2 linked regions of the Tribolium castaneum genome follow. The protein of the gene in region 1 interacts with the protein of each later gene in a pairwise test. Links are inferred from orthologs where the notes say so. Each region holds a gene or a part of one and is shown in the gene's direction. Other genes may lie near its edges.

Region 1 (5,047 bases):
ACCGTCTTCTTTTTTAATCACAGCATTACTTATGTCAGTGAGTTCGGTGGAATATGGATCAGGTTTTGGTTCGGCTTCGTAGCAGGATTTCACACGAGGCTCGGAAAACACCATTTCCGATTCGTCGATTTCGGTTATTACCCCGTTCAAATAATCGCGGAACTTTTTCAAAGCAGCGTAAAACGGTACTTTATCCGCCGCTCGAGGAAGTTGCGCACATCGAGCGCTGGACGACGGCATCACCCACATATACTGAAAAAATTGCACCATATAACAGTTTTTTTCTTTACTTCAACAATATTCATTAAGACATAAGTTTGCGACCAACAGAAATGCAGTATGACGTATGATAGCATTATCAGTTAATTATTATTATTTATTAGATTACCATGGGTATCTGACACTTAAAATCATGCCAATTCGCGGTAGTTATTTGCAGGTAGGAGAGAAAAGAATAATAAGGGTGGCTTTGCCCATTTTGATTTTGATTATTATACAGTATTCTAGTTTATGTTAAAAGTCGTGAAAATTTATTGTTATTACAACTAGTCGAGTCGTAGAAAAAATAGTGTATGCAACACCTACTGTTAAATTCCGCGTATTTGCTACCAAAGCCGAATTCGTGAAGGCGTGCAAATTAATAATGACGATTCATGTGTCGTTATATTACCAATTTTTTTTATTATGTTTTTGTTAAAAATAGAAAAAATACTATGTGTTAGGCATTTCATTTACAAAGCTGTCTTACAAAACTCGTATCATAAACTTCTTTAACTCACCGTGTTTGTGCCGTCGACGAGGTCGGGTTGCCGTCCGAACTTGAAATCCTTTTTTCCGGAGAAGACTTCATAGATCAACTTGCCGTTAAAAACGGCAATCTTAGGTCGAAATTTTCGTAATTTTTCTAATAATATTTGACTACCCTCTTTAATTTCCTTACGAGTTAAATCAGCGCTACCCTTGGTTGCACGCTGTACCATATTTGTAAAGCCAATGCCTACTTGAAGTAATTTATAATCTTCGTCAGCTGATACTTGCTGTTGTGTTAATCCTGATAAATATAAACATTTCCAAAAATGGTTTCCAGGACCGGCATAGTGATGACCCTTATAGGCCGCAAATAAGCCCGGGTTTATCCCAATCTGCGAAATTATCAATCAATCAGTAAACCAACTATCCATTCAGAATCAGACTTACAATGATTATATCTAAATTTTCGGTAAGGTGATCCGGCAATGTTCGTTTGGACACCTCTTCTTCAGGCATCCCGTTAAATCGATCGTGCTTTTTTCGCTCCTTTATAGGCCGAGGAATCCCACCATTCATATCTTGATTATAGCCCGGTCTGGCAAAAACACGCAAAAACGATACATTAATTGCGTTTGTGGAAAACCCAACAAACACAAAAACAATTAATTATGCCAATGAATGCAGTGGCGAATCTAACCGAGACACGGTCGAGTCTATCCAAAAGATTATGTTTAGGCGTTAAAACTACCGACTGCGCCAATTCAGCATGCAAAAAATTATTCCAACTGGCAGCAACACCATTTTGGAAATGCAATGTATGTTGTAAATAGGAAGATGAGACGCCTCTTGTGTCTAGGAAATTCGTTTTGACTGTTTTGCGTTTTTGCCCCTTTTCGGCAAATCGGCACGCCACTGCCGCACGCGATCTGAATCACCGATGGCATTGGATAAGTTCACGAATTTAGGTTGGCCATCCTTCGCACACTTTCACTTGAGCGTTTAGGCTGTAGTATTTTTGTTTTTTGACTTACTCTTCTGGTTTAATCTTCTTTTTCCGCCCCCTTTTCTTGGGTCCTGTTGGTATGAGTTGGTTGTTGAGCGGGGGCATAGGATTGACAAGATGAGGAGGCCCTTGTGCAGCAGCAGGAAGCATCGGAATAGGATCATCGTCAATAAAACTGTAAGGATCTTCGAGTTTTTCACATTTCACTTCATGATTAACACTGGCAGTGTTTGAAAGCAACATATCAGCACTAGTTTCATAACCATCATCATGGGGTTCAAGTTTCATGTTTCTACACATAAGAACACAACCATTAACGTTGTTTAGAAACACTTTCAGTGGCAGAAATGGAGGCTCTTGGCGGAGACATCATGCAGGATGCACTGTTTTATTTTACTGTTGTGCAGTCTAGAATTTTACATCGGTTTCGGTTGCTGGTGTTACAAGCCAAGGTCTTTTAAGGGTTGCTCAAGGCTGTTTTTACTAGGCAACACGTAAACACTGAAGGCTGGCTGGTCGTCATGCAGAAGCGAAAGCCTTTGATAAGCAGCAGGGGTGGTATACAGAGTGTCTCAAAAAGCGTGGACCGGATTTCTGGGAGCGCTGCGATTGAGTAATATCGTTTCGAAATAGCAAGAGAGTAGGCGTTGGAGGTCGCATTTGGGGTCAGGAGGTGTTTACACGTTGTGTTTTGTTTGTACTTACAGCTTGTACTTGTTGGAGAAGGTCACCGGGTGGTTGTTGTAGTCGTAGGTGGCGATGGGTCCGGGTGGTAATGCGGAGACTCCGGAGTCCGGGGCTCCGGTGGCGGCGGCGGCGCCGCCTCCGCCCGCCTCCATGGTGGCTCCCAGCAAAGTGGAGGACTCGCGGAAAAGAGTTGCCACCTGCATCGGCGGTCGTCCCGAGCTGTCGCTCGTCCAAAAACGCAAAAACCGCACACACGTTACATCTAGCTGCTACACTAGCTTTAGAAAAACCCAACAACAACCTCACCCTTTAAAAATAGTCCCAACTCTGTGATTGGTTCAACGAACGTTTCGGAAAAATCAATAGAATGTTATCGGCCTGTATTTTTGTGGAAGCCTTGTTCCGGAGCTCATTGTCGGTGTCTCCGTCGGCGTCGCTTTCTCCGACGCCTGACGTCGCTTTTTCATCAGCGCATTCTAGGAAAAAATGCACCAAACTAAAAAAAATCATAATGACATTATTTCATTACACTCGGTAAGAAAACTGCAATACCGCACCCTCGACTACGTCTACTCTCCACAGAGGGCAACCCCTTTTTCAAACCAATAAAACCACCACTGATAAATTTCCATTTTACACCCTACATTTGGTATTTTTTTTCCCACAAAGTTTCAGTCAGCACCAGTCCTGTTTTTAAAGCTACAACATTTACCTACCCCAGAAACCTTGCTTTTTTTAAACGACTTTCCTTAATGCTCCCCTAAGTCAAAATTTTAGTGAAAAAATTGGAGGCTATCTCGGTTGCCACAAAATGTTTGTTTATTGTTTTTGTAGATAAAAATGTTGAAAAAATTACGTTTATGTTGAAGATTTGCCAAAAAGACTTATGTATTTTGGGTAAAATTCTACCATTTGAACGCATTATTATCGGATAGGTCAAGTTCTTCACGACATACCGAAGTTACGCATAAAATTCGTAATTTTTTTATTTTTCAAAAATAGGTAACTTTTTAATTTTAATTGAGCTCAAATTTGACCTATCTGGATCAGTCATGGCGACCAATATGGCGGCGCCATAACATCATCATAGAATTTTTAAATAGAACGATACCATTTTTCTTGTGTCTCTTTTATATCCCAATTCAGTTCATTGCAGAATTTTGCTATAGCGCATTTAAATTTTTTTAGAGTAAAATAAAGTACAAAATGAGAGTTTCTGTATAAGAAAGGAATTCTGTGTTAAACTATATCCCAGCGACAACCCACTAGAAACTCTCAATTTGTGCTCAATTTCACTCAAAAAAATACAGATGCGTTGTTGCAAAATTTGCCTTTTGTCTAAATACAGAATTTATTCTTTGCTAAAAGATACAGATTGCACGTAAAAGAGCAAAAGTATGAGAGTCAGAAATTCGATTTTCAAACAAAAATTTAAATGAAAATTGTCATTTGTACCGAAAAAAAAAATATTCAGTGAGGGATACAACGGAACTATTATAAAGATTGACTAGAAATTTTCTGTAAATTATTGGAATCATATAGGAATATTTTACATATTTTTCTAAAAATTGGAGAATTTTATAAGCACCTTATATATTTTGCGTCTAAATTTTAACTCTGGTCTTTTGATGACCCCTGCTTTTCCATTCTGTAAAAGTTTTACAGAGAATTTTTTTGTTGTATCTAAATGCTGTAATGTTCAATATTTTTTTATTTTTGAACAAACCAACATTTGTTTATTTGTAATACAAATAATAAATAAGTAATAACTAATATTTTTTAGTCAATAAATTATTGATTATCATTTAATAATTAATGTAAAAAATACGTTCACGCTATCTTATTTATCAATTTATTAGTTTTATCATACAATACCCCACTTTTTTCTTTGATAAAAATTAAGAAAATCAAATAAAAACAAAGAAGGGCGGAGCATGCGCGGTGGGTTCATTGTGACGTATGTGTTTACATGTCGTGTTTTCTGCAGAGTTGTGAAAAACAGTTAGTATCCATTATCAGGACAGTATTTTTGTTTTTTTGTTCGTAAAGTGCTGTAACTGGGTGTTATAAATTATCAAAATTTGGAAAAAGTTTTTACGATTTATTGCAACAATAAACTTGACAGCTGATGGTCAGCTGATGAACGTCAATGAACGTCAATCGTGTTTTGACATTTGTTTAGGTGAAATTTTCTAATACATTTCTAACACCAAATTCTTTATGCAATTACGACAAATTGAAGCTTAATCACTTCCAAAGTTGTTCATTTGCCCTGATCATGCTCTCGACAATGTAAATCGAGTAAATTAAATTCGTACTAGAGGTCAGCACACTGCCTAAATTTGACAACCGACAGTGTTAAATTAGAAAAAAAAAGAACAAAAATGGTAATTGTTGGCAAGGTAACTCCATTGTTAATACTTTTTTGTGTCTATTTTGTATAGTATTGAGGACCGGTGAGGATTTCCCTCAGGACAGTCTACATGTTTGAGGAGCCGTTTCCTTGTTTCCCAAAATATGGCATTAGGAACTCATATTTAGACCTAAATGCGTGACAAGCGTAAAAACAATGGGTAATTGCTTGAAACGGTCGACAACAGATGACAT
Region 2 (5,110 bases), on another chromosome or scaffold:
CAGGAGCATTTCACGCTGAGAGAGTAGTTGCCCAAGCCGTCGTGAATGGTACCGGTGGAGGTACCCAAACTGAAGCAAGGAAAAAATTAATTTTTTTCTTGACATTTGTTGCGGTATATGTCTATGGAGCCAGCCGACTAGACCGAGTAATAGTGTCCCCTTACCGCACTTTTCCGCCGCAAAACTGGCACTGGGGCCCCTGCCAGCCGTCGTAACACACACAAGTCTCATTTTTACACACCCCATTGCCGCTACAATCCGCACATTTGGCCTTAACAAGAGAGCAAACATTTAAAACCACAACAGCACAACACAAAGCCTGCCACACGTAACATTTTCGACGGTATTTCGACTTGAACAAGAACAAAAACATTTGGAAAATTTCTAACATCTTATTACCACCATTACTTTACAGTTGCATTACGTCGACGTCAAAACAAAACGGTAAATTTTAATTGAAAATGGACGAGTGGCGGAATTATCGATGCGAGATTAGAACGGGTGTTAATGATTAGGTGATGGTTTCTTCATTTCGGTGCTTTTTTGGCCAAGGGGTGACGGTTTTTTCAGAGAGATACTATTTTCCATATTTTTTTGACAATTAACTACATAACAGATGAAATGTCAACTGGCGGAAGGCTTGCACACGTAAGCGCTTAAAGTCACCAGATTAGGGGGCGGCTTTTTATTTTTAAGCAAAAAGCTCGTTTTATCGCTTTATCGAAGTAAGAACACTAAAAACGGACAGGATTATCATTTTAACGGCTCGGTTTGCGATAAAAAATGATACAATCCGATTGGCGCTACGCCACTCTTTTAACATTCCAAGTGAATGTATTATTGGTGGCCCCATAAATCACACATGTGGCTTCAATCTTTAATTAAATCATTGTTAAAAATACTGAATGCACAAGACAGCCGATTAATTTGCATGATATCATCACCAGATGTTTCCAGATAAGAATTATCAAATCATTCGACGAGTGGATGGACCTTGATTTAAATAATTTCAAGTGGTTTATAAAAAAAGGGCAACCTTCTCGCTTTTTTGATAAAAGATTTTTTATCTCATTTGAAAAAAGTAGTTTGGGCGCTTGTTATCGCAAGGTTGGCAGCACTGCGAAGGTAAAAAATGGCGTGCGTCAGCTGTTATTGATTTTTTGATCAAAACAACAAACATAAAAAATGAACTGTGAGCGATAAATTTGGTAAAAAAGTCCTTATTGCTGCAAAACGAGTGATAAAACAGGCGTGTGAGTCCTTTTTTGTTTCTAAAATTAAGTCGGTTTTATCAAGGCCAAAAGGTTATATGAAATTGCTTGAGTAATCTTGGCCAAATAAGTGATACTTGTTCAATGAAATTGGTTGTTCCGGTCAATATTGACTCTCGACACACATTACATTATATTTCCTTTGTGCTTGAAAGGCGCTTCTGATTTCAGGTTATCACCATCACCACAAGAAAGATGCAAAACATTTTGTTAGTGAGCGATTGACGAAACTTGCTAGACGGTGAGTAAACATTAATTAATCATCGCTAAATTTGTTGTTTATCACCGTTTGAAAAAATCATTGACGCGAATCGTCTTCAGTTATTTAGCACGAAAACTGTGCCTCGCTGCGATTGGCCGTAGATAAGGATTCTTGGTCAAATTAGACTTTTAACCTTGTCCATTCAATTGGTTAATCCTTATCGCTTGATAAACTCGTTCCAATAAAAGACTCTCCATCATCTTGCAACGGCAGTTTTCTCGTCTTAATCGAGCCAAGCTGTCTCGCGTTTCACGAAAAAAACAACACCGAGCGTTCGCCCCCCGTTTCCTCCTTGCGTTTTTCCAACCAGCACCCTGTCGTTAACAAATTCACCCCCTTGACAAACCCTCCACAAATGGCTGATCCTGGTGAAAGTTTAATAAGTGCCTTCATCGAATCCCTAACGAGGATTCACATCGTTGAAACAGCGGGCATCAACTTTCTAAAATTCCCCCAATTCCCAGTCGTCCAAATGCTAATGAAAGAGTTGAATTTGTGTGCACACGATCACAGCTTCGTACCACCGTGGTAAAATAATCAAAAACTAAAAACGAGTGCCTTTTATCGTCACTCAACGAGTGAAAAATCCACAACAGATGGGCGATTGAGAAATTCACAAAGAACGGACTCATAAACTATTTTCTTTAGTTCTTAAGTAGTGTTATTAGTGGGGTGAAAATGCCGATATTTGCCTTGCAGCGTTCTTACAAGTACATGATGTACGCCACCAAACAACCCTCTTTAAGGATCAATCAAGCCGATCTCAAGTGCAAAAATGGGTGCGGATACTATGGAAACGCCGATTGGGACGGTAAGTCCTCCATTACACGAGGCCGAAAAGTGTGTTATCGAGTTTTTTATCACACGGGTCATTGTATTAATTAATCGTTACTCCATCGTGAATTCACTTGAAAAAAAAAATAAAGACGTGTTGAGCTTTGCGTTCCTAATATCCTGAGAAAAACTGATGACAATTTTCACAACAAACCCGAGAAAAAAATTAAAGTGGAATTTATCAAACGATTTTTTGTCCCAAATAATAACCTTCGATTAAATTGGCCATTGGGTACATTATTTTTTTTAAGACTTAACAAAACCTTGATACGGAAATCTTCATTCTCATCAAGTGGTTATTTAACGTATATATCAAGTGCTTTTTGTAGCACTTTATTGGCAAATGGGAATTAGCTTTTTTTAATATTTTGATATTTACGATATAATTTTTGCATTCTTCTTTTTATCTTGTACTATTGAGAATTTAGCGCTTTGTCAGCGTGTATTTTTTGGTTTACCTTTTGCTAAAATACAGTCATTTATTTAATTCGTTGTCAGAAAACTATAATAACCCGTAGTCCATTATTACACAAGGCCGGAAAATGTGTTATCGAATTTTTTCCTTATCACACAGGTCATTGTATTAATTAATTATTACTCTATTGTAAATCGTGATAAGTTGGGTTTTGTTTTTCTTATCGCAGAAATTTCGAGAAATATTGACACAAACAATTAAATATTTTTCGTCGCCCTTTTGATGAAGCCGACGAAAAAAACATTAAGTAATTAATTCATCTTCGTTAGGTTACTGTTCAAAATGCTACCGCAACCACATGGACCAGGAGCGCCAACGAAAGGCGCGCCAAAGTCACTCCGACCAAACCAAAGTCTCTGGTTTTTCGAAATTCGAAGAAAAGAAGCGCCAACAAACCGACAAGAAGAACAAATATTTGAAAAGTTTGCCCGTTTTTCGCAAAACTTCAAGCGCTAAAGGTAAAATTGTTAGTGTTTGCAATAATTGTGTAAAAATGGGGACGGTGCAGATTCGGGTCGTCCGGAGCGTCATTTGGATTTGAGACAAGCGAATCCAGATGCTGATAAATTGACGGCTGAATTTATTTCGCTCTATGGGGTTTGGGGTGAACAAGTCCGAAGGGACTTTTTCAAGTGTGTTCAGTCGTTCACAACGAAGATCTACAGCGAGTTGGAGAATAAACCGATCGAGGATATTGCCGAAATGGCGCAGAAATATTACAATTTGTACAGTAATCGGGTCAATAATACGGAGACGTATCAGGAAGTTACAACAGACGTTCGGGATGAGTTGTTGGATTTTTTCGAAAAGTACGTCATGGTCAGTCTTTACAGGTTGGTATTGTTTTTATTTGACCCAAATTTATAAACGCGCTTTACATATTTTTTAAAAACTATTGTTAAATTTTCGTTAAAAAATGAGTTGAATGTTTTTCTTCTAGTTGGCTGTTTTGCCCACCGAGCACCAACGACGAAGAGAAAGACTTGATAATACAAGAACGCATACGCAAGCTTAGTTGGGTCAACGCACATCATTTAGACTGTTGCATTAGCGAAACTAGTATAGAAGTTAGGGATTTAGTTTACACAGCCATCACACATTTACTCGGAATGGATTCAATGAAAGCACCACAAGACAAGCTGTCTTGTGTTGTTTCCTGTTGTCAGAGTGTCGTCAAAGTTTTGCAACATTGTCAAGGAGGTCCAGTTAGTGCCGATGAATTTTTACCAGCTCTCATTTTCATCGTCTTGAAAGCGAATCCGGCACGACTGAAAAGTAACATTCTTTACGTAACGCGTTTTTGCAACGACAGTCGATTAATGCAAGGGGAAGCCGGTTATTATTTCACTAATTTGTGCTGCGCCGTTTCGTTTATTGAAAATTTGACCGCTGAGTCGTTAAATATGCCTCAGCAAGAGTTCGAGGCTTACATGAACGGAGAGATAACATCGGTAAGTGCCTGGGAATCGGCACTTGTGGCATGCGAAGGCATGCACCAGCTGTGCGAACACTTGTCTCTCCTTAAAGACTTGTCGATTCGCACGAACACGGTTCAAGACGAAACGAAAAAACTAACTGACGATATTTTAAAATTCAAAGAGGAGATGAACGAGAAAGTTAATTCGGTTCTGGAGCGCACTCCACTTATCATCAAGCCGCGTAAAACCCCAGAACTTAGTGAAAAGGTTGACGACACTCAAAACAGTCAAAATTTCTATTTGCAAAATCTCCAAATCGCCACAAGTAACATCGACGATGCCAAAACTAAATTACAACTAGACATCACACCGTGCGTTAGTAAAACATCGCCGACTGACGATCACAGTCTCTCTAAAATCAACTACGATATCGATTTTTCCGACTTAAGTGGCGAGAGTAGTTTGGCTGAATTGACCCCAGAAAAGAGAAAATCGCCAAGTTTCACACCGGATCCCTTCAGTCCAGTTGGGAGCAGTTGCCCGATAACACAGGCTCCTTTAATACCGACAAAACCGGACGATTTTGTTTTACCGTTCGTTGAAACGCAAGAAACTCTATTAGAGAAAGAGGACGAAGGACCGAATTTACCATCGCCGATTAAACCAATGACGGCACAATATTCGGGGTTTTCCAAACAGGGGTGGCAAATACCCAGCATTCCGTGCATTACGGGGGAGCTGGGCGCCAATGCATCACAAGCCAATAGTCAGACGAGTCAGGATAAGGAGAATTAACTGTATCAATGTTTTAAATATATTTTATTCCCAATTTTTCGTTAGTTTCATTTAT

What was found. The genes of interacting proteins can lie anywhere in the genome.
Region 2: the proteins of Rnf11 (region 1) and Rabex-5 interact in binary tests that used the Homo sapiens proteins (3 or more experiments, as listed by UniProt). The link is inferred for Tribolium castaneum from reciprocal best matches to the Homo sapiens genes RNF11 and RABGEF1.

What each region holds. Positions count from the first base shown.
Region 1 is NC_087403.1:546,983-552,029, reverse strand, and holds the start of Rnf11 (RING finger protein 11), read left to right. Parts: upstream 1-2,045; intron 2,046-2,458; coding exon of another isoform or gene 2,459-2,643; exon of another isoform or gene 2,644-2,922; intron 2,923-4,332; exon of another isoform or gene 4,333-4,441; intron 4,442-4,448; exon of another isoform or gene 4,449-4,827; intron 4,828-4,884; 5' UTR 4,885-5,009; coding exon 5,010-5,047. Other genes in the region: uncharacterized protein Tdg, read right to left, coding at 1-252, 780-1,142, 1,198-1,345, 1,782-2,045, 2,459-2,643. UniProt on the Homo sapiens protein: Essential component of a ubiquitin-editing protein complex, comprising also TNFAIP3, ITCH and TAX1BP1, that ensures the transient nature of inflammatory signaling pathways. Promotes the association of TNFAIP3 to RIPK1 after TNF stimulation.
Region 2 is NC_087395.1:26,380,275-26,385,384, forward strand, and holds Rabex-5 (rab5 GDP/GTP exchange factor), read left to right. Parts: upstream 1-1,719; 5' UTR 1,720-2,211; coding exon 2,212-2,344; intron 2,345-3,111; coding exon 3,112-3,300; intron 3,301-3,350; coding exon 3,351-3,675; intron 3,676-3,782; coding exon 3,783-5,055; 3' UTR 5,056-5,092; downstream 5,093-5,110. Other genes in the region: dsd (attractin-like protein 1), read right to left, coding at 1-69, 165-391. UniProt on the Homo sapiens protein: Rab effector protein acting as linker between gamma-adaptin, RAB4A or RAB5A. Involved in endocytic membrane fusion and membrane trafficking of recycling endosomes. Stimulates nucleotide exchange on RAB5A. Can act as a ubiquitin ligase.